Schizosaccharomyces pombe: one gene and its partners. Changing the gene in region 1 together with any one later gene gives a genetic interaction. Each region holds a gene or a part of one and is shown on either strand. Other genes may lie near its edges. The genes, in order: elp4, ubp3, san1 and SPOM_SPBC15C4.06C.

What was found.
Region 2: mutations in elp4 (region 1) and ubp3 together harm fitness less than expected from each alone (positive genetic interaction), as found in Schizosaccharomyces pombe (one large-scale study listed by BioGRID).
Region 3: mutations in elp4 (region 1) and san1 together harm fitness less than expected from each alone (positive genetic interaction), as found in Schizosaccharomyces pombe (one large-scale study listed by BioGRID).
Region 4: mutations in elp4 (region 1) and SPOM_SPBC15C4.06C together harm fitness more than expected from each alone (negative genetic interaction), as found in Schizosaccharomyces pombe (one large-scale study listed by BioGRID).

The regions. Positions count from the first base shown.
Region 1 is NC_003421.2:1,460,941-1,468,206, forward strand, and holds elp4 (elongator complex subunit Elp4), read right to left. Parts: upstream 3,451-7,266; 5' UTR 3,399-3,450; coding exon 2,313-3,398; 3' UTR 2,046-2,312; downstream 1-2,045. Other genes in the region: nucleoside diphosphatase Ynd1, read right to left, coding at 1-1,287; translation initiation factor eIF2B alpha subunit Gcn3, read right to left, coding at 3,833-4,121, 4,218-4,660, 4,716-4,855, 4,913-5,066; CLRC ubiquitin ligase complex WD repeat protein Rik1, read left to right, coding at 7,234-7,266. UniProt on the Schizosaccharomyces pombe protein: Component of the elongator complex, a multiprotein complex which is required for multiple tRNA modifications, including mcm5U (5-methoxycarbonylmethyl uridine), mcm5s2U (5-methoxycarbonylmethyl-2-thiouridine), and ncm5U (5-carbamoylmethyl uridine).
Region 2 is NC_003423.3:3,674,397-3,682,077, reverse strand, and holds ubp3 (ubiquitin hydrolase Ubp3), read right to left. Parts: upstream 4,430-7,681; 5' UTR 4,366-4,429; coding exon 4,285-4,365; intron 4,247-4,284; coding exon 2,789-4,246; 3' UTR 2,417-2,788; downstream 1-2,416. Other genes in the region: rnf10 (ubiquitin-protein ligase E3), read right to left, coding at 1-17; erd2 (HDEL receptor), read right to left, coding at 1,322-1,812, 1,868-1,993, 2,031-2,052; RNA methyltransferase Nop2, read left to right, coding at 5,501-7,327; histone H2A-H2B chaperone, FACT complex subunit Spt16, read right to left, coding at 7,560-7,681.
Region 3 is NC_003423.3:2,950,123-2,958,874, reverse strand, and holds san1 (RING finger protein), read left to right. Parts: upstream 1-3,416; 5' UTR 3,417-3,833; coding exon 3,834-6,059; 3' UTR 6,060-6,280; downstream 6,281-8,752. Other genes in the region: nus1 (ditrans,polycis-decaprenylcistransferase), read left to right, coding at 445-754, 822-1,288; putative transport protein Tvp23, read left to right, coding at 1,743-1,909, 1,971-2,406; SPOM_SPBC2A9.03 (WD repeat-containing protein), read right to left, coding at 6,378-7,621, 7,679-7,715.
Region 4 is NC_003423.3:2,249,629-2,257,689, forward strand, and holds SPOM_SPBC15C4.06C (ubiquitin-protein ligase E3), read right to left. Parts: upstream 4,083-8,061; 5' UTR 3,779-4,082; coding exon 2,108-3,778; 3' UTR 1,783-2,107; downstream 1-1,782. Other genes in the region: dhx29 (ATP-dependent RNA/DNA helicase), read left to right, coding at 1-1,381; SAGA complex/transcription factor TFIID complex subunit Taf10, read left to right, coding at 5,574-6,221; SPOM_SPBC21H7.03C (multiple inositol polyphosphate phosphatase), read right to left, coding at 7,016-8,061.

The DNA of each region.
Region 1 (7,266 bases):
TACTTGGCCTAAGGTCCAGCTCACTTCGGTGCGTTCTATTTTTTCTAAACTCGTGAATGGAGAATGGTACGCAGGAATTACCGAGAGCCCATCCTTTGCATCATTACTACTTGTATTTGACTTGGGAACGTCGAATCCTTCATGAAGGACATTCAACGCCCATGATGCTTTAAAACAAAGCTTTTCAAGCTTGTTTTCATCAGTACTTGGAGTCAGCTCTTTATTATAAAGACGGGAAAGCATGGTTTCCCACTCTGTACCACAATACTCGTCAACTTTTTTGTAAAAATTAGGGAAATGATAGCTACCGCCCATATCAAACACATCATTAGTCGTATACCAAAATTCCGAGACCCCAACAAATTCAGTATTTGCAAAATCAACAGGAGGAATAGATATTCCATCAAAGTTACAAGGGTCCATGGAGCATGGCTTGTCTTTATTTAATAGATTGTAAGTCAGTTTCAAGCATTGTTTCAAATCTCCAGTACCGGCAAATTCGATCCCATCGATATCATAAGTTCGTCCACGCAAGGAACACGGATCGCTTAAAGTGTTGCCAACTTTTCCGTTTTCGCTTTCTATTAACAGTCCCAAATACCTGCGGTAAGCTTCATTAGCGCCAAAACCGAGCCAGGTAGTAACAAACAAAGGATATTCCAATTGCTGACCATTTTGTAGTCCTATGTGAACGGTCGAAATACTATCCTTGTAATTTTTGAGCTGAGATGGGGGAAGTTCAAAAGCAATTTGCACACTCGCACCGCCCATATCTAAAAAACCAACCGTTGACGTATCTTTTTCTTCAAGTGTCTTAAGGAGATAGTTCGTAGCTAGCCAACCATACATACCTTCAGCTTTGCCATCAATTACACGGATTGAATTTGAGCAATTAGGTATGTCGAAATCGTAATTCTTTTTAATATATCTACAAGCATGCGAAAGTATTTTGTTTTGGGCATCAACGCCCAGTAAACGCATACCAGCTGTAGCACTTAGGAAAACCGGAGTTTCTTTATGTACATCTTTGGGAATAGCATGAGCAGCAAAATCCAGGAGTTCTTTCAAATGCTTCTTCCCTACATGCTTAGGGTTATTGGCAAAGGAAGAAATTCCAGGTTGAACCTTTAAAGACCATTTACCACCATCCCCAATCCCTGTCTCGATTAATGGTAATTTTTTTACTTTATCACTTAAAGAGGAATCGGTATCATAGTCCCAAGAATAAATTAGAAGTCTTGAACCACTAGATCCAGCGTCGATGAAAATTCCATACTTTCGAACCATTTTTAGCCACCTGCACTTATTTTTCTTAACAAAATGTCTCTTTGTCTATAAGACTGGATATTAAATAACTTCGACTCTGAAGATGGATATTTTCATCAAACCAGCCCAATTTGCCTTTTGTTTGTTGATGGTTGAAAGCGCACTATGGCGATGTGAACAATTTCAATATGGCATATGTTCCCAAGATATACATCAATAAAATTCAGTTAAATATATGTATCTGTCTTATCAATGAACCTCTATTTAACTTAATTGAAACATTGAATGAACGTTTGTAGTGGATTATGAACATTCAACTCAATGTTTAACAACTAGCGAATGTATAGGTAGCACATTTTTAGGTGGTAAATCACTATATAGTGAACTCTGTCAAAATGCAAAAAAAGTAAATTGAGACGAATTTAAGGACCCATTCATACGGACTATTGGAATAATCACATTAATTTTGGTCACTTGACTTAAAAGATAATGCGACTAGAATTAAAGAGAAAAATCGAATACGCGAAAACTTTTTGATTTGTCTCTTTAATTTGCTTAGATGTCAAATACTGTTAGTACCAACAGATTGACAATGTTTTGATAACAATCATCAACAATTTACTTCAGAACTGTTTTAATAGAGAAAATAATTGTATCCTTCAAATTTCAACGGTTTAACACTGTTTAAGATTTAAAATGTCATTTACTTACAAGTATTTCATGCACTTTGCTTTAAGATCACAGTAACGGTTCTTCGTAGAGATATTTGACGGCTTTCAGTTCGCATTCTATATTAACTTGTGTTTTAAAGTTTTGATTGAGAGAACGTTTATCCCATTTGACGAACATTTAGATAATTGATCAGTTATCTAGACGGGAGAAATGAAAAATATTTAAACTCGTATGAACAATAAATAACACAAATGCAATGCATCCAAAAAAAATTATAAAATCCATTTACAAACCATAACCATATCACATAACACGAAAACGAGTAGAATTTTAATCCAATTCAATACTCAGAAACTTAGAGGTTTTTTAATTGTCTAAAAATCCAAAGATTTAACAGGCTGTTTTTGAGGATTCGTGTTTGAAATCTTCGTATCCTTTTGCTCATCATCCAGTGGAGGAAGGACCCATGGTTCAATGGTAAATCTTCTTTTCGATACAGTAAATGAGAGGTCTCCAGCTTCATTAGAGTTTGCATGATTGGTAAATGGAAGTGCTAAGGGAAGCTTATGGATACGGAAAAGTCCTAATGGTTGTGTAACTAAACCGTTAACAGTTTCTTTGACCGGGAAAGGATGCAAAGAGAATACGGCGGATGCAAGGTTTTCTAGCCAAAAAATTTGCTCGCAATCTCTTGAAAACAAAGTAGAAGGAACTGAACACATACATATCAAGTGCACCGAAGTAGTGCATTTGATGAGCGATGAAAGTGTGTGAATAAATCTTATGAAATGCTGCGGATGAGTAGCACGGATAGAATAGAAGGCTGGGGACAAAATGGATGGAAGAACTAACCTGCATACCGTACCTGGAGTCAGAGTAGATAAGAATCTCGTTAGACTTTCAATGACAGGGGCGTAAGGATTAGACCCTGTTTCCAAAGGGAATGGAGAAACAGCGTATTTCATATCGCTTTTCACTATCAAATTCTTTGACAAATCAAAGGAGTGAGTATAGCCAGGAGGAATCATATCAAGGGTCGGTGCCTTGGTTTTGGAGACTTGTTCATACCTCCAGGCAATTTTCATTCTTTCTTGCTGGGGATTTTTAGAGGGAGGAGAAGAATGATTATCCTCTCCAGCTGAATTTTCGTTTTTATTAGGCCGGTCGCTGTCGCCTGGAAGTTGACGAAACCACATCTCTCCAATAGATGGACCAAGCCAAATAACATGGTCCTGTTTAAGGCCTTCCGCTGCAAAAAATTTAAGTAGCACAGAAGCATAATCCATCGAATCTTCCTCTATAACCAGCAAACTTTTCATTGGAATGCCGCCAGACAAATAGTAGTCAAAAGAAGAACTCCCAGAGCTTGTAATCCATCTAGCATCCTTTGAAGATAGTCTAACGCCTGTCGGCAAGTTTGTTGGTGCTATTTGAGGTGCTGCTTTCCTTTTGAACGACATCAATACTTATTTCGATTGGTGTACGTGGAATAGCAAATTGGATGGAAAGGTTAACGCGACGCAAATTTGCAGCACACATTTAAGCATCATCAGTCAGAAAACAAAGAAATTCAGCGTTGCGATTGAGAAAATAAAAAATTGTTGACTAAAGTTAATCATTCAATAAAAATACCTTTTAGATAAATTTTGTTGAACTAATAATAAAATTTCACTAGTGGGCGCATTGAAACAAAAATAATATTGTAATACTACAAAATAACATAGAAAATGTTACGTCGTACAGTCAATTAGCATGATCGGAAAATGTATTACTGTTGTATTTTTGAAGATTACTTTCAATCCGAATCTAGTTGGACAAGACTTATGAGAAATTTAAGTCAACTCAAAGTACAATCTATTCATATTTTATTTTTAAGATCAGGAGAATCTGATTGCTAAAGATACAATTTAATTAGCTCTTCGCTTACCCCACTCTTCGAATCAATGATCCCTAAATCGGTAATGAGACCTGAGACAAATTCGGGTGGTGTAACATCCAAAGTAGGATTATTTCGAATTTGTTCTTCATTCATGATCAGCTCGTTATGAATAGCATCTGATGGAGTTGGAATTGGTTCAGGTTCAGGATGAACAGTTTCAGGAGATGGATCATCAAATTCCAGAATAGGACGACTAAAGGGAATATCATATTGAGAAAGGGGAAACATACGCACGAATTTATGACTAAAAAACGTTAGTACAAATTTTAAAATTAACAGGGAAATGGAGAGATCATAGGGAAAAATAATTGTAAGCTGAATGGATTCAACGTTTACGTACCTTTCTGCAACTGCGTAAAAGGGCTTATGTGCATGTTTGGCAAAAACGGCAAGTTGGAAAGTACCGATTTGATTAATGAGTCCTCCGTTTTCGACAACACCTTCTGCGCCAACCAAGACCAAATCTACACGGTTCATAGTAAAGCTTACAGCGGAATCCAAAACCATGCAAGTAGGAATACAAGCATTTTTTAATGTTCTCGTCATTAGACAGCCTGAGCCGCTAGGTCTTGATTCTGTGACAAAAACTTTGAAACGAACGTGACGCTTGGCAGCAGCCAAAAGAACAGCCGCAACACCGCGTGAAAACCCATGGGTAAGAATAACACTACCATCTCGAATAAGAGGGTAACCTAAATGTGCAATTCTTTGTCGACAAGCACGAGCACGCTGAATAAAGAGTTTTCCATTTTCTACCAAGTGACGTTTGCATTGCTCAAAATCCTAAAGCCGTGGAGAATTAGTAAAGAAAAGAAAACTACTTTGCATCAACACATACCCCGACATCGTGTAGTGATCGAGTGACAAACCGTTGGAAAATGTCACAACCAGCTGAAAGCGAAATGTTGTTTTGAACGCCTTCCTTCAGCGTATTTGAGCCATTTTGTAAAATGTCCATAAATTCTGAAATTGTCTTGGCTAATAGAAAAACATCAGTAAATTCATTTCTCACATGAGTACTACAAATTAACATACCTTGAGAGCGCGACAAAAGCTGGACTAAAGCCTCAATGGCGGCTACAGGCATCGTGATTTCTGGATCATCTTGCAAAAATTTTTTGTAAACCTGGACGATGTCAAATTCTCCTTGAGAATGTCGAACGATTCCCGAAGAATCCGATTCCACCATATTCGCAGATGCTAGACGCTCTTGCTTAGTAGCAACATCTTTTCCATACTTTAAGGATATCCAACAAAATCAAATAACGGGCAATGCCTTTTTGTATTAAATTGTAAGCTACGCAATTTGGTATCTGATTTAAGGATACGTAGAACTGCGGTGAGTTTTCCTTGTGATCTATTATATTACAATACACAGGTTGTATAAGTAGCAACTGAGTATAGGTATTGTATTAACTGAGTTATAATGTTACCTATCACTAATATAGCTCATAACTGAACTGAGGAACGAGGTTCAGCAGTAGCTCTATTTATATTATTCAGATAATATAGATCTTAATAGATTATCATTAAGATCAATCTCAATATCGTATCATACATGGTACGATATATAATTAGAACATGTGACATATAGTGATACGCAACGTAGATGATGCGATGTCGAGATTGATATTGATAATACTATATTAACAGATAGATTATTTGGATAGAATCGATAGAGATACAACTAAACCTCATTTCGCAGTTCAGTTATAAGTGATAGGTGACATTATAACCTAAATAGTACAATACCAGTACTTAGTCATTACTTATATAACCCGGCTATTATAATATAATGGATCATATGCAAAATTCACCAGTTTTTCGTATCGTTAAAGCAGATACCAAACTGCGTAGCTGACATTATACGGCGTTTTGGATACTGATCTACAGATATGTTCCTATAGATATTTATGTAGGTGATTTGAATGGTATTTACATATAAATTGGTTTATTAAATAGCTTATATTTAATTAAAGCTAAATATTGAGAATAATTTTAATATCATATTCTTGACTGAGTACATCTGAGGATAATCATGAAATTCTTCCTCGGTGATCAGTAAACAATGCTTGACTGTTGATTTCCAATATGTAACGTTCAACGATACTTATCATTGTATAGATAGTGAATTTGTAGTATAATTTACTATGTTCCTAATAGTTGAGCGTATCATGAACGAAATATGTCAAAACGCTTCCATTTTAAAAAAAAAGGAGTACTGATGAAAGCAGTAATTGGATTTGGTAAAAAGTAATATAGAAAGTTTTTTAAAAAACTATTTTATGTTTAAGAGACCTTTCAAAAGTTCATGACCATTTCTACGAGAAACTAATCTTTAGTCCAACCTTCGTAAATCTCGCTTATATTAAGCTTGATTTTACTTCGGTATTTATGGATGACGCGAACACTAAACTGGTATAGAAAAAACGCTATTACTTTCAGCATCTAAAGAAAATCATTTATGATAATTTCTATGCTTTCAATTATATCTAAATATTTACATGCTCAATCATTCAAAGCGATGCTACAAAAATATTATGTTTTAGTTGTCGACTCGAATTTCAGTAAAATCCTAACTTTATTGCTAGACATCCGTAGGTTTTCATTTATGCTATAAATCTGTGAATCACCTCGTGATCGGCAAGTTGTTAAAATAATCTTTTAAGTAACTCTAATACCATGCACTATAGTAAAGAAGGTATATATTTCTTTGCGTGCCTAGTTCTTGTTTTCAATAGCAATAGTCGTTATCTCCCATAGCTTTTAATTCTGCTCATCGATGAGAGTAACATATTCCAATATCTTCTCTACATTATCAAATCGTTTTGCAATTATAAAAATATCAATAGCTTTCGATTTCCCCCAATATGGCTAATGCTAAAATTTATAACATTGATGTAGAATTTGGCTTAGTTAAGATGCAAGTTGAAAATGTCTTATGTTTTATGATTATCAGAAAATGTTTTGTGTAGTATCTGATATTAAAAAATGCATATCAACTTTTACAATAAATTCGCTTGCGCAAAATGTATAGAGACTGCATATCTCGTTTCTTCTCCCTGCGGAGTGCCTGTAACTGGCGTCTTGCACTTTCATTCAAAATCGAAATTTTTTGGTAAGGATTTGATAGAGATTGTCACTTGGTAGCATATTTTTTCTATCTTGAATTCCTTTTTCTAGGCTTTTGTGGCTCTTGGCCGTCCACTCTTTATTTTTGTATTCAACTGTTTTTTAATCACATAAGTCTAGTCATAATCTTTTGAACCAACTCAAAGCTTCTTTTTTTTATTTTTTTCTTTGTTAAAAAAAGTCTTTATTCCTTTTATTATATCAGTTTATGGATTTCATCGTGTATGGCTTTATGTGTTCATTCCTTCTGGGCAACG
Region 2 (7,681 bases), on another chromosome or scaffold:
TTTTCTCCGTTAAGCATTAAAACTAGTTATGAATCTTTAATACCAGTAAAATCAATCAAAGCATTTAAGCCTTTGACAGATTTTTAAACAGCAGACGGCTAAGGAGCTTAAATTCGTTTGAATAATCAATAACTATTAGACAAACGTCTTTGTGGCCTCCAAATCGTCTACCAAAACTGCTAAGGTAGAGAAAGTAAGACAACGCATATCGACGGCGAAATAAATTGTATAAAACACGTTAGTACAGTATTGTAAATACTGAATTTTAAGAAGTTACTTCGCACCTCATAATCGCTTTTAAAAATATTGAGTACGCTATAATCATCGGTACGCAACGTTACATTTTACTGTTTTCATTCAGTTTTTAAACAAATTTCGATCTTTGTTATTAAATAAGCATGTAATCAATTTGTAATGGCTATATGTTTAGAAATTATAAACTTAATATCTGTAAACAAAAACATTTTGCAAATAGCAGTTTGGAAAATCTATATATACCAATTTCTATACTATATTTTTACAAACATTTAATATTGTTTTTAAATCCTTATTTTGATTTCAGGAACAATGAATTTATTTAAAATTCAATTTTTTGCTTGACTAATTTACTTCAAGTGTTTTAATTTACGCATTTACTAGATTCTCTTTAAACTTAAGGAGATATCATGTCAGAACTTGATAGATTTCAAGTATATACTATTTTACCTGTAGTCTATCAAACACTTCCGAACATTCGCAATACGCAAATAATAGAGGAGTCCTCAATTATTATAAAATTATAGCACCGATTATTAATATAAATTTCCGTGAATTGGCGGTTATGATAATCTACAAATTTATTCTATTTTTTTTTTAATGATGTACAGTAATTCAACAATTTAGCTTGGAATGAGGCTGCTCATATTTTCCTTTTCCATATATTACATTCAATTACCATTTTAAATACCCAAACAGTTAATTTTGTTTAAATATTGCTTAATGTTTCTGTATCGTATATGAATTGAAAATTCTTTTTTTTGGTTTCTGATCATCAGTAAATCCTAAATTAATTTTCTAATAATGTACTAAAGTCTTAATTTTAATGAAAGAAAGAACAGATCGTGTCATCCATCGAGCATATGTATTACGGATAAGTTAAGTTATAATTTTTTTGCATACAAATACAAAAAAGCCCATTTAGTTCATTAATTCATTCATGAACATAGTCCTTTGACGGCGTTGCTAAAAATGCAATCAGAAACTTATTGCATCGAGAAAAAGGTAATGCAAATAGAAAAAAAACAATAAAGATTCCTTCTTTTTTCATCAATAAAAATCATAACTAAGCAGGTAATCGGAACTTTTTTCCCTGTAGAACTGTTCGGCGATATACGACTGCAAAATCACCATACAAAACGGTTTGGATAATGCCCGCAAGAATTGCAACACCGATGACTTTCTTGTGAACTGCAATACGATAAATCCAATGAGGAATATATAGTCCTCTATATAAGCACATTGCAAATAAGTAATGGGCAGTCAGGCTCTCTGTTTCACCAGATCGTTGTAACATAAACAATTGAGGGAGAATTGCAACACTTTCTAACCAAATACTAAAAGTCCATAGGATGTTACTAATGGTATAACTGGTTGGATAAATGAGAGCCAGAACTGCACAACCACCTAAGATATATTCAGTTCGAAAAGTATCAAGACGTTTGTCATATGTAGGTCGCAAAGTCATTAACATCAAGTAGCATATATAGGATTCGGAAGCTATAAAAACTATCCTCATCAAGAAATAATACAAGCTTTTGTATCTCCAAAAGAGATCTGTTAAAAAAAAGAGTTAGCAAAGAAAGTATTTTTCGAAAAGTTCAGCACATACTCAAATAACGTGTAACATAAACAAGCAGAAACAAAAGATGGGATTTGAGAGATAGTCCTGAACAGGTTTTCGATTTTTTCATTCGGTGCAAAAGCAAGAAAATAGCAGCCAAATGGGCCATATCACCTAATGATTAGCTTTACTTTGACGAAATTCATCATACCCAGTGCACTGAAAAATGTCATGATTAATTAATAAAAGTAAGGAGTGCCTATTTCAACGCGCCAGGTATTAGGAAAAAGAATTTGGTAGTGGTGTTGACAATAGGCTTAACTGCGCAGAGATATAATTGGGGTATGCAAGTGGGGGCCAAATGTTTAATAAATGCAACAAAAAAACTGTAATTTATATTCGTACTTTAGAATGCGCTGAATCAAGATTCTCAAACGATCAAATCTTTTTATTTAAAACAAGGAGTTTAGCTTGCATGAAAATTATAGAAATGGGCTTTAAAGTGACAAACTTGATGCCATAGTACTTCAAATATTACATTATGAAGCTGGACTTGACCTACTACTAATAGGACAGCAAAATAAAAACCACTTGACCCTACTTTTGGTACTGTTTTAAAATATATACTGCATTAAAGCTGCAATGAAAATTCACTTGTATATTCGGAGTAAGTTCCTAGAAAGGTTGTATTATAAAGCCGATTAGTTTAAAGGGATTGAGAGGGAACGTAATCTTAAATAGCTAAAGTTCATAAAATAAAAAATAATAAAAAATTGCTGAACCTTTTTGAGAAAATTATGTAAAAAAGATATGATAAAATTTTCTAACCGACGTTTTAAACAAAAAGAATTATAAAAAAGTGTAGTCCCCAGTTTTAGCTCAAATCCTTGAGTTGTTTATTGAAGAATACACAAAACAATTAAGGTTTTTATTGGTTAATTTTTTTTGGGAGGAAGGAATCCAGATGACCTAGGAGCGTCGTGTGTAAAACAGTAAGTATGCCACACGATCGCCGTGACCAAGTTTACTAAGACTCGGATCAGCGGAAAGTTCGGAGTTTTCAACATCATGAATAGGTACGCGGTGAATGTGTGTATCATCAATCCGAAACCAGCCGCTTTTATCAAGTTGCTGAACATCGACAGTATAATGACCACCAGACGCAGAAGTACCGTGATGATAAACCACTGCATTCAAATCATATTCCGGATGTATGGAACCACGAACAGAAGGGCTGAAAACGTTTTGTGGAATACTCAAGCGAGCAGGATAAGCAATAGGCTTATAATTTTTCTGTGTACCGCCAGATGCTTCGTAAAAGAATCGTTTAAGGTGAAGAATCAAGACAGGAGGAAGTGACTCTATATACATTTGCTTGGTAGCAGTAACATTTCCTTTCGACGAATGCCATTCCGGTAAAATTTCAGGGGCGGTCATATGCTCCAACGCATCGATAACTGAATGTATATCTTCTGCTTGAATGTCGAGTTGCAGAGGTTGAAACGGTTCTAACAAAACAGAATCTCTTGCACTCGGAACCCTTAAGGTAGAGCGCAGCTGACCACCAAAAATTTGGCTTATAGGAGACCTTTCAACAGTAGCAGATCTAGCAATTACTGGCTTTTTATTTTTACCAACTTCGGTCCAGCCACTAGCTTCTACAGAAGATTGATCATCAAAACTATCTAAACCAGACTTGATACCATTTGAAATTTTGATATCAGATTTTGGATTTCTTTCGTCATTTTTTAATAAATAATGTCTACGTTCACGCACGAATTCTTCATGTAATTCGTCAAGAAACAAATTCAAAAACTCCTCAGCATCCTCCTGTTCGCCGGTCTGCAACATTTCAAATCGAGGATTCCCCTTAGTAGCTGAATATACCACTTCTGGCAAAATAGAATCTCCTTGTAAATCAAATTTCTCAGAATATTCTCTAAAATCCCTAGAAAGCATTGTCAACGATTCAATAAGAGGTGTTGTACGTTCAAAATTATACGGAACCATCCGGTTAATTTGCTTAAGTAAATTATAAAATGGAACACAATACATTAGTGCCTGTAAAATAGAGTTCATAAAACATATATTTCCGGTATTTATAAAACCCCGAGGCTGTATAGGACGGGGTGCATCGAGGGATGGAGAATATGTTTCGATCAATTCACCAAGGGATGAATTGAAACTTTTTTTCTCAGACCTGTCAGACGGTACCGGAACAGAATGTGATTTTTTAACAGGAGAGTCTCCTTGAACATGCTTTTTCGCAATTGCAGACCACGATTTAGGCGATTTTTCAGACTCTTTCGTCTTTGATGTGACCAGAGGCATTTGCACCGAAACCGACCAATCTAAATTCTTAGGCGAACGCCTTTTTCTAGCCTTTCGATGAGGAAATTCATGTTCAGAGCATGAGTACCATGGTAGCTAAACGTTAGTATAATCACAATTTTAATAAAACATACCAGTGAATTGATAATAAATTGATTTCGTGACGAATCACTTTCCAAAGACGCGCTGTCCGTTGCAGAGGTCAAATCTCGCATGGAAATACGCACACTCTAGCAAGATTGAACTCTTGTTTACTAATTTGATGGTTGGCTGTCGTTCGCTTTGCTCTTCAAAAGACTGTCCAAAACTTTTTTTAATATACACTATACCTCGTTAATTCTTCGTATTCCACCAAGTGTATTATGGTGATATTCCACTGTAAACACTTGACCGCCTAACTCAAATTCCTAATTATTTTTAGTTGTTCTTTTTTATTATTAATTATTGAATGTCCATGCCCATCTTTAGTTATTTTTAGAGAATACGGTATATTTACATATCTAAGTACCACTATATGTATCTTAAACCACAAAAGTGATACGAAAAGAGAAAAGTAAATAGTAAATTTTAAAATTCGATATTCTGCTGTTGTGTGAACTATATATAGGTCTTGAATATATATTGTCACTCATTTTACGCCGCAGCAAATTCAATCGTTAACCAAGTCTTAATGTGATCATAATTGAAATGATTAATTGTCAAGGAGGTGAAGTAAGATGAACGAGTAAATTAAGTGACTTTTTTAAGTAAGCTGAGCAGTAAAGTACGTAGCAAATTTTAAAAAAGATAAATATAACAATAGTCGTGAATTTTTAATAATGTTAACTATGCTGTTGCTATGCGGTATATCTTTTTGTGTTTCAGCAATGCAGTTTGAATATCTGTTTAACGATACATAGAACTGCGGCAATTTTCTCTTGCGATCTACAATATAGCGGGATGCAGTATATTTTTAACTGACAATGTTTATAGGAAGCTATTAGTATCGATCATCGATACAGCTAGGAACTGTACCTCGTTCCTCAGTTCAACTGTAGCTCTATTAATAATATTTCTATAAGTTGCTATCAACGTTGCATCTATGTAGATAGACGGATAGTTTATCCTCGTGTATCAATAAACGGATCTTAAGTATTTAAACATATGGCATATAGTGATACGCAACATAGTATGTCATAGCGTAGTGTAGTATTGCTTGAAAAAATTTAATGTTCTTTATCTTTCGTAAAAGTTTTTAACAAAACTCAGCGATGTGAATAGTGGAGGTTGGACTGAAAGAATGCCAGTGCCAAAATTTTTCCTCAGCCCAAATAAACGTTTTTGGACTTCATCACATATTTTCCATAAAAGATGGGAAGAAAACAGAAGTCTAAGCAAGGAATTCCCCCAACTTTAGAGGAAAATCATAATTCTTCTCATAAAGTGACAGAAAATGCAAAAAAGAGAAAGCATTCAAAAGAAAAACCACAAAATTCTCGGAAACGCCAATTAGCAGAAGAAAAGAAATCTTTGTTTGAAAATTCGGATTCTGAGAATGAAAAAGATCTTATTGATGCAGACGAATTTGAAGAGGCTGAAACTTTATCAGACTTGGAACATGACGAGGAACCCCAAACATTTGCTGACGAGTTTATCGATGATGAGGCTAAAGAATGTGAAGGGGAGGAAGAAGATTCTGTTTTTGATTCGGATGAAGAGCATGAGGTTAAGCCTATGTTTAGCGATGATTCTGGAGATGAAGAGGATTTGGAACTTGCGAATATGGAAGCCATGTCTCGCAAACTTGATGAGGAAGCGGAATTAGAGGAAAAAGAAGCCGAGGAAGAATTGCATACCAACATACATCCTGAGGCTCCTACTGTTCTTCCACCTATTGATGGTTTTACCGATAGCCAACCAATATCTACTCTTCCACAGGATTTGAGCCAAATTCAATTGCGGATACAGGAAATAGTCCGTGTTTTGAATGATTTTAAAAATTTGTGTGAACCTGGACGCAATCGTTCTGAATATGTTGATCAACTCTTAAATGATATATGTGCGTATTACGGTTATTCTCGCTTTCTTGCTGAGAAGTTATTTGAATTATTTTCAGTTTCTGAGGCTGTTGAGTTTTTTGAGGCAAATGAAATGCCTCGTCCTGTCACAATTCGTACCAATACTTTAAAAACCCAGCGACGAGAATTAGCCCAAGCATTAATTAATCGTGGTGTCAATTTGGAACCAATTGGTAAATGGTCCAAAGTAGGTCTCCAAGTATTCGAATCCCAGGTTCCAATCGGTGCGACACCCGAATATTTAGCTGGTCATTACATCCTGCAAGCTGCATCTTCCTTCTTGCCTGTAATGGCCCTTGCGCCTCAACCAAATGAACGTATCCTTGACATGTCCTCAGCACCTGGTGGTAAAGTCACTTATGTTGCTGCATTACAAAAGAATACTGGAATTATCTTTGCAAATGATTCTAACAAAGCTCGAACAAAGGCTCTTTCCGCTAACATTCATCGTTTAGGTGTACGTAATGCTATTGTATGTAATTACGATGGCCGCAAGTTTCCCAACGAAGTAATTGGCGGTTTTGACCGTGTTCTCCTTGACGCCCCATGTTCGGGTACTGGTGTTATATATAAAGATCAGTCTGTTAAAACTAACAAATCTGAAAGGGATTTTGATACTCTTAGCCATTTACAAAGGCAATTGCTTCTAAGCGCTATTGATTCTGTCAATGCTGACAGCAAAACCGGTGGTTTTATCGTGTATTCTACTTGCAGTATTACTGTTGACGAAGATGAAGCAGTTATTCAATATGCTTTAAAGAAGCGCCCTAATGTTAAGCTAGTGTCCACTGGACTTGAATTTGGACGTGAAGGGTTTACCCGTTTTCGTGAAAAAAGATTTCATCCAAGTCTAAAGTTAACTAGACGTTATTATCCTCATGTTCACAATATAGACGGTTTTTTCGTTGCCAAACTGAAAAAGATTTCTGATAAAATCCCTACTGTAAATGTGGCTGATGATATGAAGGATGGAACAAATAATGATGTTGAAATTGAAAAGAATTCTACTGAAATTGATAATATTACTTTCAATGATGAAGCCGATAAGGAGATTATCGAGCAGAATCGTCGCAAATGGTTGAAGTCTAAAGGTTATAAGGTTGCAAAAAAAAAGGATTAGAATAATTTTGGTTAGGTTGGGATTACACAATAAAAGGTAACTGAACATTGATTCGCGTGTTACTACAACAATTATATTAATAGGTTGTCGTAAAGAGCCGGTCTTTATATTTTTGTATCAATCCATCTGGTTGTCAAATCTCAATTCAGTGGAATATTTTATTATAAAGTATTCTGGAATTTTTAGAATAAACTACATATAAATAATAAGAAAGTGAAGTAAATTTGTGAGTTTACCGGTGTCTCTTTTTAGATGGTCTTTCTTCAAAAGCATCGTGCTTAGCATCTTCTTGACGTGCTTTACGCTCCAATTCATCCCAATCTTCACCACTTTCTTCATCCTCCACTTCGCTTT
Region 3 (8,752 bases), on another chromosome or scaffold:
TAATATAATTTCTAATCCTCTTATCAATTCGCACTTATTAAAGAAGTTGTTGAAATAGTGAATTATCTTACCACACAAGGTATTGATTCCATACGGCTAGACACTGTATATCATTTGTACGAATTATCTAGAGTTAACTTTAAAAAATACCCTATAACAAAAAAAGATAAAACTTCGATACATCGATTTTTTCAGAAAGAGCAGCTTTCATTGTTCGTGTTGGTATCACAAAGTACCTCAGCACACCACCCAACATTGCAGCCTGCAGTTCATAAACATCGCCAGTTGTCTTCTCATAGCTGTAAATTGTTCCTAGGAAGTTTCAAACTTAAAAAGTTTGTTTGTTCATATTTAAAATCCAATTTATACCCCTAAATATAAAAAAACTACAGAGTTCAACCTAAATTAAATAGGTTCGAATTCTGACAACCAGTGTTCACAAACATGTATGATGATATTTTCTTTTATTTAGCTTTATGGGTTATACAAAGCGTTTATGGTGCCTGGGATTGGGCAAAAAATTGGGTTTTTTGGACATGCAGTTATTTACTGAATTTTTTGTATCATCACCATTGTAGTAGAGATCTTATAAGACGCGATACGAAAAAATTAAAGAAGAAACCAAAACACATCGCCGTTATTATTGAGTGTGTAGAAGATGGAGGTATAGAGGGCCTTATTCATGATGCTTGTGAATTATCTGCTTGGTGTGTTTGTTCTAATATTCGCGAACTTACGATTTATGAACGTAAAGGTATATAATTGCAGTTGAAGTTTTGAAATTCCATTACTATTTGATTACATTTATTAACAGATTTTAGGGTTTTTAAAGCAATCTCCCGAAGCTGTTGAAAAAGCTATTTACTCTCACCTGCCATTCTATCTTGGAGGTGACAAGTGTACCGTCCATGTAACTAATCCTTGCTCTCCTGATGAAAAAAATCAAAATGACTGTGTCGATTTAAAGGTTCATCTTATAGCGAAAGAAGATGGTCGAGATGCTATCATCGATTTAACTAGAGGTTTAGCGGATTTATGTACTAAAAAAGTTATCAGTAGCACCCAAGTTACACTGGAATTGATTGATAAAGAATTGAAGGAGAGCGTAATACCTGAACCAGACTTACTAATCATATTTGCTCCTCTGCTTAAGTTGCAAGGATTTCCACCTTGGCAGCTTAGATTATGTGAAATATTTCATGATCCTATTTTATATACAACAAATTACCTAACATTCTTTAAAGCACTTGTTCATTACTCGAATGCAGAAATGCGGTTAGGGCACTGAGGTTTTATAAATTTAAATATGAAAAGCCAAAAGCTACCAAAAATTTATCAAGTTGTCTTCTTGAGGTTTTTGTTACTTCTTGTCTAAAATGCTTTTTGGATTTTGTTAATAAAATTAGGAATTCAGTATTACAGAAAAATTTAATTTACTTCAAATGCTTAGATGATAGGCATTAACAAAATTAAACAGACAGGCAGTCAGATTCATACTTTGGATATTATATGCATTACAGTTTTAAAAAAATTTAATAAACATTTTCGTTAGAAGAATATTATAAAACTTAAATTAACAACTAAACATTCACTTTCGAATACGATCTTTTAGAAAACCAGGCTTGCTACACAATAAGAATCTTCGTTAAGGTTCCTTATTCGCATACTGTCAAACCCCTGCTGAGATGTTCACCTCTTTGGATCGAAACCTTTACGTTGATAACCATATCACGTTGACGAAAATGGACTATCAAAATACGGAGACAATTGCCGAGCAGGAAAGGAATGCTAGTAGGCTACCGCAGATGTTTCAAATGTCTTCGCATCCTGTAGCTCTTTTCTTCTTTCTTTTATTTCGTACCGGTGCAATTGTGGCATACATATTGGGCATGTTCTTTACCTCAAGTTTGTAAGTTTTTAATAGCAGAAATTTAAAAGAAAAAGAAATTGAGCTAAACAAATAAAAATAGTATGTTGTTGTTTATTGTAATTTTCACTTTGCTAGCTGTTGATCTTTGGACTGTTAAAAACGTCTCTGGTCGTTTACTAGTTGGTTTGAGATGGAGAAATGAAACTGGAGTTGATGGTGAAAGCATTTGGATTTTCGAATCGGCAGATCCCAGTCGTCCCAGAAACGCCGTTGATCAGAAGACGTTTTGGTACGCTCTCTATCTATATCCATTTATTTGGATCATATTGGGGATTGTAGCTATAATTCGATTTGAATTTCTCTGGCTTGCACTCGTTGCTGTCGCAATTGGACTGACAAGTGTTAACACCGCTGCTTACAGTCGTTGTGACAAAGACGCGAAGCGTCGTTGGGCTACAGAACTTGCAGATTCCAATTCTTCTGGATTTGTTTCCAGATTTTTATCTAGGGCTTTTATCAAGAGATTTATTGGTTAAAGCTCTTTCAAATTCTGTAAATAATTTTTCGAACTACATTGCATTTTAAGCTCATTGTATATGAAAAAGCTAATTTCATGGGATTCTGGCTTAACGATTTGCTTGTTAATTAAATTGACGAAAGCGCTGGAACGATATTGTGTTTTTACTTCCCAACTTTGAAATGACAGAGCGTCAATTTGAATCCTTAAGCATCAACTGATTACGTATTTTTATAATACAAAAGCCAAAAGACTGTATGACGGATCCTGTATTTTAGTATGAGTTTATATAACCTCCCATACTGTTACTTTCAAGCATATATCTTCTTTTCTGATTGAATATTTGAATAGAGCCCAATGGTTATTTTTAGGTGCACATTACGTTCTTTTATTCATACATTCTTTTATGGTTAATACTATCACACAAAGTTTCATGAAGGCCAACTGAGATCTTTTGAAACCCACTACATTTATTTTTCCATTGATAACATTCTTAGTTAGACTTCAAATATTTACGCATGGAGTGCTTAATAAGATACCGATGAACGAAACTTCAAAGTTTGGTGCTACTTTTTATTTCGACAACTATGTTCCTGCGTGTGTTTGCTGTGAACTTAAAATTTAATACTTTCTTATTAGTGATGAACATATATTGAAACGAAGTTCTTATAACAGCATAATAAAAGCGGAAAGAATATGTAATTGTTAGTTTCTAATATACATATTTTAAATGGCAAAATATGTATTTAGATGATTCCTTTACTAAAGAGCATATCATTTTTTTAGTACATATATAAAGCATTAGCTTAAATGTCAATTATAAATTCAAGGATATGCGGTTTCTTACACGATTCGCAGAATTTCGGTTTTCATATGCTTTATGTCAACAAACCTCCCAACTATCAAATAAGGAGAACCTTTTATAACTCCTTAAAAATATTAAGGTATTGAATGTCCTAATGAACGCCCACATGTTCACTGTCTCTATTGGCAATATATAATGGAAGTCCCTGGTTTTCTATTTTGTTCAACACCACATTTTGCACCTTAAAAGATAGTTTAAGTGGAAAGGTGCACTTTATAACATTCTATAACGTCTTTTATTTTCTATTTACTTTTTTTTTTGCTTGCCTAAATAAATATTGAAATATTCAGTGGCCAGAAAACCCCGATGGAGAATGTTACATTTTCCTTACCATTAAATTTTTGATTCCTGTTTTTTTATTACCGCAGCAATCATATTTTACCATATTCCTCCTTTGTATATAATAAGTCTCCTACAAATATTTCCTTTGTCTTATTTGTTGTTTTTATTTTGAGTACTGCTTTATTTATTTAGATTCGACTTTATTGTGGTCGTTTTATTTCTTTTTTTTGGTTTTATTATTAGACCACTGAGGTACTAGTTTTTTGTATAGAATCTCCTGTTACAATTATCTGTTTTAAATGGATTCCAATACAAATGAGAATAATTCTCATGCATCATCAAACGAGAGACAATCATCTGAAGGGCATGATGACTATTTGAATCGTAATCCAAACAGTGAAGCAACTGAGGGTGAAGAAGGTACCCACCCTACCACGGGGACTCAACCAGTTGCTTTTTCAATTGGTACAATGTTTATCATAACTCCTCAAGCCAATTTCGAGGGTGGAGAAAATGATCCGTTTGCCAATCCCTTTCAACCACCCGTAAAACGCGCTGTAAAAGAAGCCTGGGATTCTTTCGAACCTTTGTCTAATGACCAACTGATGGATTTGACTTGTCCGATCTGTTACGATGATATGAATGAAAATGATGAAAAGCAGGCTACCAAGATGCCATGTGGCCACATATTCGGTAAAAATTGTTTACAAAAATGGCTTGAAAATCATTGTACATGTCCTCTTTGTAGAAAAGAGGTTCCCCACGAAACAGTAGGTTCAGCTCATCCTCCTATTTTATTTATCATTCCACACTCACATACGCTTCGTGGCAACCAAGGCAACACCGCGGTTTCTCAAGAAAATGCATCAAATGGTGTTCATTCCGACTTTCATCCATCTGAGGAGCTTAACAATGCAAACACTGATGGTCGAACCGGCGTAGACGAACCAGCTCGGCAACTGCATCGCATTGCTTTTAACCGAATACGTTTTATTCTAGCTCCAAATCGATCTGCCACCAATACCCCTGTTGAAAATACTCACCCTGAAAACCCTGACTCAAACACCTCAACACCTACTACTCGTAGTGAGCCCTTAGCAGGAGAAGGTGCCTCTATTGATGCCGAAAATGCTAGCTCTAGACAAGAGACTACTCCTTCGGATTCTCGTCCTTCGACGCTTACGTCCTTATTTAATGCTTTCTTTTCATCTATGCCTGATCGCCCTTCCTCTAATGAACCTATGACTTCGAATCTTACCTCTAATTCTGGTAGTATGACGAATAGTACTTCCACAGACTTGCCAACTAGTAACTTGCCCTCTCAAAATGCTCCAGCTAGACCAGTTGAGCCGTCACCTTCAATACAGCCTCCCAATTTGCTAAATCTTCCAACGGCTTCGCCTGAATCAACTTCATGGCTTCCTGGAAGCCAAACAAATATCCCTGCAAATACGAATCGATCTGAAAGGCCTTTTACACAGTTAATGACGTTCCATGGTCTTCCTTCATTAGCCGATTTACCAGCTGTTCTTGAGTCTATGTTCCGTCCTAGCGGTAATAATAACCTGCTTAATTTAAATGGAATTTTCCATCCCGATCACAATGCGCAGACTGAAAACGGTCAAACGTTGCCAGAGAATACTGACGACACCAACAGCAACGCTACGTCCGCAGTTCCCAATCTACAGAATTTAAATCAGCAAAATGCTGTAACTATGGGTACAAATACACCAAATAATGGTTCCTCCCCTGCTGTTCATCCAGTAATTCATATATACTTGTCGAGACCGCCTTTACAACCTGCAGTTAGCGAACAGGAAACTCCTTCTGAAGCGGTTTCAAGGGAAGGTACTAGAAGTACAGATGCTACGATGGAAGATTCAAGTAGACCTCCAAGCAATGGCTCTTTCCAAGGTCCTGGTATTACCCATCTCAGTGAAATGGGGCAGCGCATTTTGCAAAGGTTTCAGGAAGAAATGGAGAATCGAATGAATCAAACTAGAAGTGAATCGAGCACCCCTGCTCAGCAATCAGCTGCTGGAAGCAGCATTAATGTTGACACTGCCGGGCGACAACCTTCCGATGAGATAAATATTCCTGGCGAATACGAAAACTCGAGTGAAGTTGCAGGATCACGAAATCAAACTCCTACCCATTCTTCCATTGCTGTAGACACCTTGAGTAATGTTGCGGTAGACCAGCCTGCGATATCCACTCCGTCGGACGTTGTTGGTAGTGATGCCGGTGATACTAGCAAGGTTTCGTCGGGAACTAGCACTCCTCGAATGGCTGCTCCGATTGCTAGACGATCAAATCGGCATCATCCGTATAGCAGACCTAGCTCAACGCGTCCTCAGTGTCAGCTTGAGGATCAAGGCATTTGTGATCCTAATGATAGATTTGTGCACTTCGAATGCGGTCATTCAGTACATGAAAGATGCCAGCAATCTACTAGCAACTCCGAAAATCAAATGGACGAAGAAATTGGAGAATGCCCAAAATGTCGTAATGAAGAGCATAAGTAATGTTTGTGTTTTTTTACTCTTTTGTTATCTTTATCATGAAAAATATAGTTGTTTGTTTATTATGCCTTTTTAAATCTTCAATACAAATTTGGTGATGTCCCTTTAGAGTATCAATATTTCATGCTATATAGATTTTTATTGTTTTTGTATTATTTATATCTCAATACTTATCATCTATATTATTTGCTCTCCTATAAACTAAATGATTATTTGACTATTACAAAAAATCTCATTATTTTTTTCAACGTTCATTAATAGTTTTGTTTGGTACCAAGGAATTTATTATTATAAGATTAAATGACTCAATGAGTTAAAGAATTAAAATATGAAAGATAGCGGATGTTGTAAAGGTCTCCTAAATTCTAAAATGCCACCCAACATGGGATCGTCTACACCAATAAATAAACTGTCGCCAGAAGATGAGTAAGCGGTTCCGGCGATTTCTCCAAAAAAGTCAATAACTTGGGATGTATTAAATAATTTAGTATCAAAAAGTTGAACAAAATCGGCTTGTTCCGTGACAGCTAAGCTTTCACCTAATGGAGAAAAGCACAAATTCGTCACAGCACTCATTTGGCTACCTAGATTTCGAAACGACTTACCAAGGGCACGTATGTCCCAAACTTTAGCCGTTGTATCTTGTCCTCCAGTAGCCAAAATATTTCCATTTGGATGCCACGAACCAGTAAGTACAGAGTCGGAATGGGGAAGTTTGGCTGAAACGGAATTTGATCTAATATCTATTAACATGGCGTCTTTCGAATCCGTGCATACAAGCGCTAATGGAGTTTCATCAAAAAGTTGGACGCAGTTAACAGCATTTGAACACCTGTAAACAAGAATGGGGCTAGTACGCTGGACATCTTCCACATAAACAGCACCATCATTACAGCCAAGGATGAATTTTTTTTCGGAAAAAAGTTGAATATGATTAATCGAATCATCTGAAAGCTTACGAGTACTAAAACTTCCGTTTTTAAAATTGAAAATACAATATTGTCCATACAATGTTCCCAGACATCCTACGGCATTTGTAGTATCCAAACATGATATCGCTTTTTTCTGAAGGATATTATTCTTAAGGTCAATGATTTGAACAGAATTATCATGCAATGTGTTTTCCATTCTGATGCTGTTATTGCTCACATAAATGACAGAATGCTCACCAACCACCTTTACGCTTTTGCAAAGATGGTGATGATTCCGCAAGCAATTAGGATTTTTCAAAAATCTTTGAAATTCATAAAACGAGTCTTCAGCGGCGACTTGTACAGTATCTAGCGATAGCTCTTCGGGTGACCAGTCTGAATGATTGCAAGACAGGCTATAAGTGTGTAATCGATAAAGACGAAAGTTTTTCCGTTTACCAATTGCTTTATTTCCCCAGGGAATTCCTTGAAAATCCACTGTCCCACAATTATCGGTGCTTTTTGGGTTCAATTCAAAATTTGATGCAGTGGGGAATCCATAGTGGTCTAACTGAATTAAATTCCGGTTTCCTGTATACCAAGAAGTGTAAAAATAATCATCTAGATAATCTTGAAGTATAGCTCCACTTTCAGCTAGTTTTAGCATTAGCTTTCAGAGCAACCAACGGACTGCACGTTTAATTTACTTACGAAGCAAATACTGGTCTATAAATTCTCCATTGGACATATAGAAATATTTAATTTAAAATAAATATTATCTGTATGGCTGTAGAACAAAAAGGAAATCAAATAAAAAATTAGAGAAGGACAAGATCGCCTCATGGAAGAAATGAGAGAAGGACAATCGACGTTGCAAGGACCAATTGACTCTTTCGCTAACGATTTTCGGCAATTAATCTTAAAGATTTTATACGTATGAACCTAAGTGAAAACAAAATAAGCATAAAGAGGTCTTTAGCTCAAAGGTATAAAATTATCATAAACAGAGGCGTAACCAAAATTGCAAAGCCAATTTCGTTTGTCAATGGACGAAAACCTCCAATTGATCTTTCTAAGTTTTAAAAATCACCAATGTTGATCGTTTTGAATTTAAACAAATATACATACTTAAAGAGGTACGGCCAAAACATTAACCATTATGCTGAAGCATCACTGAAAAGAAAAGCTCGCTAATTATTTTGGATTTATTTAAGGTTTTTTGAAGAGAATGAAATCCTTCAGAATATAGAGAACGAAGTTGATTCACGAAGCCGAAGGTGGACGTCTCCATTGAGTAATATGTACGAGAAACACTTGCAATCTAAATCTACATTGCAACTCTATCAATTTCCAAAACGATCCTGATTTAGGGTAGATGTCTTGGTTTGCTATCGGCTGGGCTCGTTTCTCTATAGGATTTTACTTTTCTGGTTTTACCATTCTATATAAAATTAAGACTAGGATGTTAACAGACTTAATTTAATCCATACGATTAGTCTTTAAGTAATGTTACCTCAAATTAAAAGCATTCCATTCAAAATTTATATTATTGTTGCTTATTGTAAAACTAACACCCAAGAATTCGCATTTAAATTGGTCCCTTTTGGAAAAAGGATAAATAGTTTTTCATAAATCAAAAGCTTTTTGAAGCAATTACAAAGATTGCCCTCCCACAGGTCGGTAATCGTAATTTGAAATTACAGAAGAACGTTTTACTATAACCTTTTTAAATATATAAAAAAAAGCAAATAAAGTAATTCTAATAAACAATATTATGCCTACGAG
Region 4 (8,061 bases), on another chromosome or scaffold:
CGCTGAAACTGGTGTTACTATTCCAGATGTCACTTGTGTGATTGATACAGGAGTACATAGGGAAATGCGTTATAATAGTAGAAGACATCTTTCTCGGTTAACTGATACATTTGTATCTAAGGCCAATGCCAAGCAACGTAGTGGACGTGCTGGTCGTGTTCAGGAAGGTATCTGCTATCATTTGTTCTCAAAATTCAAACATGATACCCAATTTTTGTCTTACCAGACACCTGAAATTCTGAGACTTAATCTGCAAGAAGTTGTTTTGCGAGTAAAGATGTGCCAAATGGGTGATGTACAAGATGTCTTAGGCAAGGCGTTAGATCCACCTTCCTCTACCAATATTATTCGTGCTTTAGAAAAGCTTCATCAAGTGGGAGCGCTCTCTGAAAACGAAAAATTAACAAAACTCGGCAAATTTTTGTCGCAATTACCTGTTGATGCAAATTTAGGAAAAATCTTGGTTTTGGGATGCTTCTACAAATGTGTAGATGCCGCTTCTTCAATAGTAGCCATGTTAACAATCGGTTCACCTTTTAGGAAATCTGTTGACAATGAATTTTCTGCAAACAAAGCCCGATTATCATTCGCTAAGGAGAATACCAGGAGTGATTTAGTTTTGATGTATTATGCTTACTGCGCTTGGCGAGAGATTTGCCTTTCACCTTTAGGCCCTGATGAAGATTCTTTTGCCAAAGAAAAGTACTTAAATTTAGAGGCTTTAAGTATGACAGAATCACTAAAAATCCAACTGCTTTCTGAGTTGAAGGATATGAAACTTTTAGGCGCTTCGGATGTTGATACTTGCAAAAGCCTAAAACGTTCAATATGCCGGCGTTTTGCCGTTATCCCCAAAGAGCATGATATTAACTCAGGAAATGCAGAAATTCTGTGTGGCGTAATTGCTGCATCTCTGTATCCAAACATTTTAAGGTATGATTACGAAAAAAGACAGTGGTCAACCTTGAGTACCAACAAGCGTGTTAGAATTTTAGATGTATCGGTGAATAATAGGTCTGAGTTACCTAACATGCCGTCCAAATTCGTTGCTTACACGAACATGATGTCTTCCACTCGAGCTAGTGAGTATGTTAATGAAACTACTATGGTTACTCTTCGCCAGCTTCTAATGATGTGCGGCCTTAAAGTCGAAAATAGAGTATCAGTTGGACAAGCAAAGCTTGACAACTTTACAGTATATTTTGAAAATGTTTACGTTTCGGCATCTTTAAGTATTTTACGTCGCTTTATTGAAACTTCTCTAAACGAATTTTTTGCTGAACCTGATAAACGCTTATTGAATTCCCATCTTGAGGTTATTGTTAACATAGTTTCACGGTTAAATTACGGAACCAAATTTCAGAAACGTCTCAAAGATTAATGAAAGTATCAAAAATGAAATATCAGAAAGTTGGTTTTCACATATCTGCTTAATGACAGGCAAATTTTCTTTCCATTTGGAAAATGTAAGAATTATGTTGGTTGAGCATAAATGTGTAAAATGGAGTTATCTAAGGCTTCATTGCAGAAACTGATGGCTTTTCTATTTTATGAGACACAATTCAGAGTATTTAATTTTCTCAAATCCAAAAATGTCAATTATTATAACTGTATATCGTTTTCTTAGAATATCAAAATAGGTCTCTAAATGAAAAGAAAAAAATATTTACATATGCAATTTAGCATTAGACCGGCTAATTTGTAAAATACTTAATAGTTTTTTTGTACCTTCATCATAAACTAGCAAGCAACATGTGTATTAAACTTTTTATAGTAAACAATGACATGTATAGTAAGCTTTTATATAGTACTATAGAATTCATACGATAACACAAATAATAGATTAGAACGATGAGAAATAGATAATTAGCCCATTAAAAGATGCAAGAAAATTATGAACTTAAGGAAGCGTAAGTTTTCTTCGTCGTAGGAAGAACTGAACAATAAGTATGAGTATGCGTATGCGTATAAAGACAAGCAAAATATTATAACGTAAATGAATGAGAGTCGAACAAAATATGCTAATATAGATTATAAAAAAAATTATCCTTATGAGTAGAAGTACAGGAATTACTCAACCAATGGAGAAAATTCATAAATATGCAGTTTAAACATTGTCCTCGGAAGCATTTTCCAACATGTTTGTAACTGACTGTTTACATAGGGGACAAAGATCCGAATTTTTTAATAAATAAGGATCAATGCAAGCCGGATGAAAGATGTGATGGCATGGCAGTTCTCGATAAAGAGGACTTTCTTCTGAATACTCACACAAGCAAATAGTACACTCCCTCTGATCGAAATACTTACTCCCTCTTTCGGCTGTAGTAACCACATTTCCCTGTCCATCAAAACTTTCTGATTTGTCTAATTTCCAATCCTTTTCATAAACCAACTCATCATTAGGATTGGCAAGATGAGGCCCCGAAAACATTCTAACGGGCAAAGTATCGAGCATTTCTTTAGTAACACGATTTTCTGGTTTGTTTGGTCCAATATTCACAATTCTTTCTTGAACAGGAATTCCATGACGATTTAAGAGTCTATAAAATCCATTCATTGCACCAGAAAAGTGAAGGCAAATAAAAAGGCCTATGACACCGATTAAACCCAATAACACACCAATGAATATATAGAGGCCAAGTAGCTTTGGTTCCTTGCTGATGATAACGCCCAAACGGGCCGTAGCATCAATGTTTCCAAAATATTCGACTAATGCTCCACCATCCTGCACCGAATTTAAAGAAGAAGCCGAGTATTCGTTGAGAATCTTTTCAAAAGCGATGCCGTTTTCGTAAGATATGAGTGCCATTGGTAATGTTTCAAAGGTAATCATATCTACAGCATCTTCAAAGTGGTCAAAATTGGTTAATGAATTACTAGCAGTGCTTGCATTATAAAATAGTATTGCCTTTGCTCTATCCTGGACAGCCTGCAATACATGCATTGGAGCACAATAGTCAAACGGCGCGAATGCGATTAAGCCAGAACTTCCCATATTAGAAACATCTCTAAACCATACGCTTCCCTTGGTATCAACTTGAAGTGACTCGGTGTCATTGCAGCTACCATAAGGAGTAGTTTTATATATAATTCCACGAAAATTATTCTTCAGTTTAGACAAGCTTTTGTAATACTCATTCAAAAGGACCGTGTTGTCAGAGTGGAAGTAAAATGAGACATTTTTTGGAAGATTTGAAACAACATTCTTGTTGTTTTTAACAATAAGAGTAGTTATGGTTAGCGGAAAGAACTGATTGTATTCGACAGCATTCATAATAATAGATGAATTTCCGTAATATGAAAGACCAGAGCTAACATAATTAGATATTGCAGTATTTGGAGCATTGCTGGAATAAGCAGGGTAATAATCATCATACAAGGAGATTGAACCAGAAGTAGAGGACGACCTTGCAGAACTAGTACTAGAATCTGAATAAGATTTGGGATTTGATTCACTGGAAACAGAATCCGAGTCTGATTCACTAGAACTGGACATAGAATCTGATTCATCATGACTAGATCTTGAAGAAGAAGTGTGTTCACTAGCATGCCCACTAGTATGGCCTCTTCTTAATGATCTAAATGAATAAGAGATTGGAGTTGGCGAGATACTTTCGTCCTTTGGCATTCGATATCGCCTTCTTTCATTCCATAGTTTACGAATTGCATTAAACAGCCGCTTTCTCCTCTTTACCTTATTCTCTTGTGAAACATAGCCTCTGTAAACTGCATTGCAATCCAGATGATCAAGCAACTGGTTATTACACAGATGCATAAGAACCTAAACAAACTTTAAGGCACGAAGAAACACAAAGAACTAGGAAACAGGAGGTTTCAAGATTACCAAAAAACAAACCTGCTTTGATACCAATCTTTCTAAATAATGAATCAAATTTAATGGTAATTGAAAGGTAAGCTTTCAATCAATAAACAGACGTTGAGTGGTGATATCTCTAAAGCAGGAATTGTGGAACACAATTAATGAAATTTTTTAAAGGAAATTTCAAAAAATTAGAAAGTAAAAAGTGTGATTCTTTTAACTTATACTAGCTCAAGCTTGAAAACCACAAATTGGTGGTGGCTAAGTAATGAACATCTTGAGACATATTGCGTACATAGTACACAATACATGTGATATACATGTGGAAAGCAATTGTTATTATATTTTCACTATGAGCAGTATACTTCAGTGAAGAAGTTTTTTAATGAAGGAAAAACTATGAAACAAACAAAGCATAAAGTGCAGGGCGAGAAAAACAATCGTGAAATAAAACAGCTTATTTGTGTTTGGTGATTCGACAAGCGCTTTAAACAGGTGTGAGAAACTAAATAATAATAAATGGTAATTATAAGAAATAAAAAAACGAAGAAGTGATACTTCAAAAAGGTAAGCATAGCTGGAGAATTAATGATCAGAGAGAACTATAATAAATAAATAAAAAAAGGATCGCTTAGCGATCAATTAAACAATAAGATATCCTCCTTAAACATAAGAAGCAATTTACTAGGAATACGTTATAGGATTTAATGTTGTTTGAGTATACTTTGTAAACTAGTATAAGGATATAATTATTGTGATATGCTACCTCGTAATTTAGTATAATTTTATGGAGTTCGTTTAGTACAGCGGTTACATATTTGTTTAAGAAGGCTAAGATATAATATACTATATAATTTTATATTTTACTGTATTAACTTACAACTGAACTAGGAAAGGGTAGTTTGTTCGGTTGAGATATTTCTTCAATAATTGTATTTTCCTAAAGATGTTTTACTCGTCCTGATCATTAAAGATCAGTAGTATGGATCCGACAGTTTTGAAATGAAAATAACAATAATTAGTAGTGATATCTAATGTAGCTTTGATCTGGCTTAGCAATACATTATTGGTAAAGTATGGGGAAATGGATTATGTAGTTTGTTATGAGAAATAAAAAATGTGCACCAAATTAATCTCAAATATCCTTTCTTTGCGTAGTAAATTTTTTTATTTGTTTTAAACACATATTAACTGGAAGTCATGTTTGCGCAAACTTTAAAATGCTCATCTCAGCAAATGAATAACATTGTAGTTTGAGAATAATAATTACTTTTGAATACATATGTTCAAGTCCAAGAAGGCTGCCATTCAACTCTAAACTGAACATTTGCTTATAGAAGCAAAAATTGTAGTAGATACCAACTTCGCTCCGAACTCTATATAATACCGATTTTAAACAACACTTTTTACCAGAAGTTAATTAATCTTATATATTAATTTCTATTATTCAACTAGCATTATTCCAAGAATTGGAATTATTTACTTTTCGATCTTAGCCCTTATATACGTAAATAACAATGCTACTTTACCACGAATACAGAATATAGTCCACCTCCACCATCCCTATTTTAGTTGGCCTAGTGGTTTCTTGAAACACTGGATTAAAGTATTAAAAGTTAAGTCCATAAGCTAGGGAAATAAATTTCCTATTATTTCCAATAAGTCGAACGATAAATCAAGGAACCACGGATTTGAATCAAGTTGCAGAAAGACATTCTTTGCTTTACAACATCGGTCAAATAAAGAAAGAATGAGTGACATTAACAATAATGAGCCAGCTGAAAATATTGAACAGCCCAAGCAAGAACCAGAAGATGGAAATAATTCGATGAGTGTTGATGAACAACCCGAAACGTCTTCCACAAATCTGCCAACTGGTGACAATCTCGCCCCAATGAGTGTAGAATCCCCTGCACATTTAAATAACGAGGATTCTCCCAAAAGCGATGATTCTAGAGAAAGGCATGGCTCGAATTATGTTATAGAACCGCATTTAGAATTGCGAGATATGGCCAAAGACAAAACACTTGAAAATTTCTTGGCCCAAATGGATGATTACTCTCCCTTAATTCCAGATGTGTTATTGGATTATTACCTCAGTTTATCTGGATTTAAATGTGTTGACCCACGCTTAAAAAAGCTTCTTGGTCTTACAGCTCAAAAATTTATTTCTGATGTTGCTCAAGACGCCTATCAATATTCTAAAATCCGAACCGGTAGTAGCAATGCATCTTCAACTACGTTTGGTGCGCAGAATTTTGGAGCCGGAGGCGCTTCCGGGATTGGATCTAGCGGAAGAAGAGGTGACCGTGGAAAAACCGTGCTCACTGTAGATGACTTAAGTGCCGCTCTTAATGAATATGGAATTAATTTGAAAAGGCCCGATTTCTTCCGTTAAAGACTTTTTATCCCACTAAGGCCACTTGTGTGAGACCCTTACTTAATGCATTAGTGGAACTTTGTTTCTGAAATCTCATTTTCCTATAAAATTTTTGTTTACTAATTGTTGTTAATTCTAACCTTTTACACTTTTTTGAAATTATTATGTATTTTGAAGATAGCACATTCGGTTTGGCGTGGCATTGTTGATGATCATAATTTCAAAACATTTTCTCATATCGATCCATTTCAGCAGTAGTTTTCATATGAGGGATTATTTATCTTTATATTTTATAAAATTTATCATATGTATCATAGTTACTATTTTCTCGCTATCACTTGCTGAATTTGTTTTACACTGATACTCTCATTCAACATTGATGTAGTAAATGTTTTCTTCGTTATGCTACTATCTGCATTTTGAAAAGCACTTCTGAAAGTGTCAATTACGCGGTCGACAGCTGCCTCATAGTATGTCAGAACCTAACATGCTTCTAATTATAATATGCATTGTATATAAAGTAAAAATTAATATAATTACAGTTACCAGTACTCTTTCAAATAATGTAATGCTTGAAACCTTAAACAAATACAGACTTCTCAAGAAAAATCACTGCCTTCATCTGGCAAAGGAAGATTATCAGTTCCTACAAGCAAACATCTTGTTTTGATTGTAGGAAGGAAAGTACTTGGTATTCCTCTTTTAATTAAGTCTAATATTACCCAAAATTAAATAAATTGATTATAATAAATTATAGTTTATCCTATTCAAAGGATCCATTCTGTTTATTTAAACATTATAGCGCTGATAGTTCAAAAGTAAATGGTAACGTTGGTAGGACGCGCTTGACATTCTGTGTTGAAAATGGAAATACCATTAGAGGTAGAATTTGCCCGAATCGGTGAATTCAAATAAGCCTGTAACTCGCAAAGTCCATCAGAAGTTCCACTAGGTCCATACCCACAATCGATAAGGGGATAAACTTGCTGGTTGACGAGATGCCGTACATAATATTTGCTGTCAGAACAAAAGAACAACTCAGTAATTAAATTTCCAGCGAAGGGAACGAATGAAGAAGTTTTCTGGGAGTATGTATAAATGTTTTTATCAGTCGGCAAAGGATTTTGCGGAGTAATGTCAGGAAAGAATCCCAAAGCAGCTTCCACAGGAATGATATTAGAATCATGAGTAAATGCTAAAAATACTTTACGATCGAAGTCGGGATTAGTCACATTACGAAGTGAGTCTGCAAGATTATTTATATAGGCCCCACCTAAGGTTGAAGCCCATTCGGAAACAGGACCACCTCCATATGCCTGATCGAGATCTGAGTCATATTCAAAGTTCAAAAATTCTGATGGGGTAAATATGGAACAAAAATCACTGTGATCTTTTATAGCAATTTCATATTCGCAGATATAAAAGAGACTACGAACGTCATTGATCGTAAGTTTATAACTGCTGTCAAAATATTTAGCCAAACGATTCACAATGGGCTCAATAAAAATATTGCGCCATACAGCATGGGCAGCATCAGTTGCATTTTTATGAAAGTTATTATCTTTAAACACGGGACATGCGTTGTACATGGATAAGGAGTTGGCACCTGCTGCCTTACCTTCAGAAATAAGGATAAAATTGGTTTTTTCGTACATTTTATCACCAAATAATCCATAAGTAAACCATTTTGCAGATTCAACAACACGTTCCTGTTCAGCCGTATTTATGTCGTAAACGTATGAATCAAAAAGTTTATAGTAACGCTGGTATAGCTGACGACCCAAGTCGAAAAGTTCGAGACGACCACGGCTGGAAAGTTGATCGGCATTTTCTGCATCTATTACAGGAGTCCACTGCT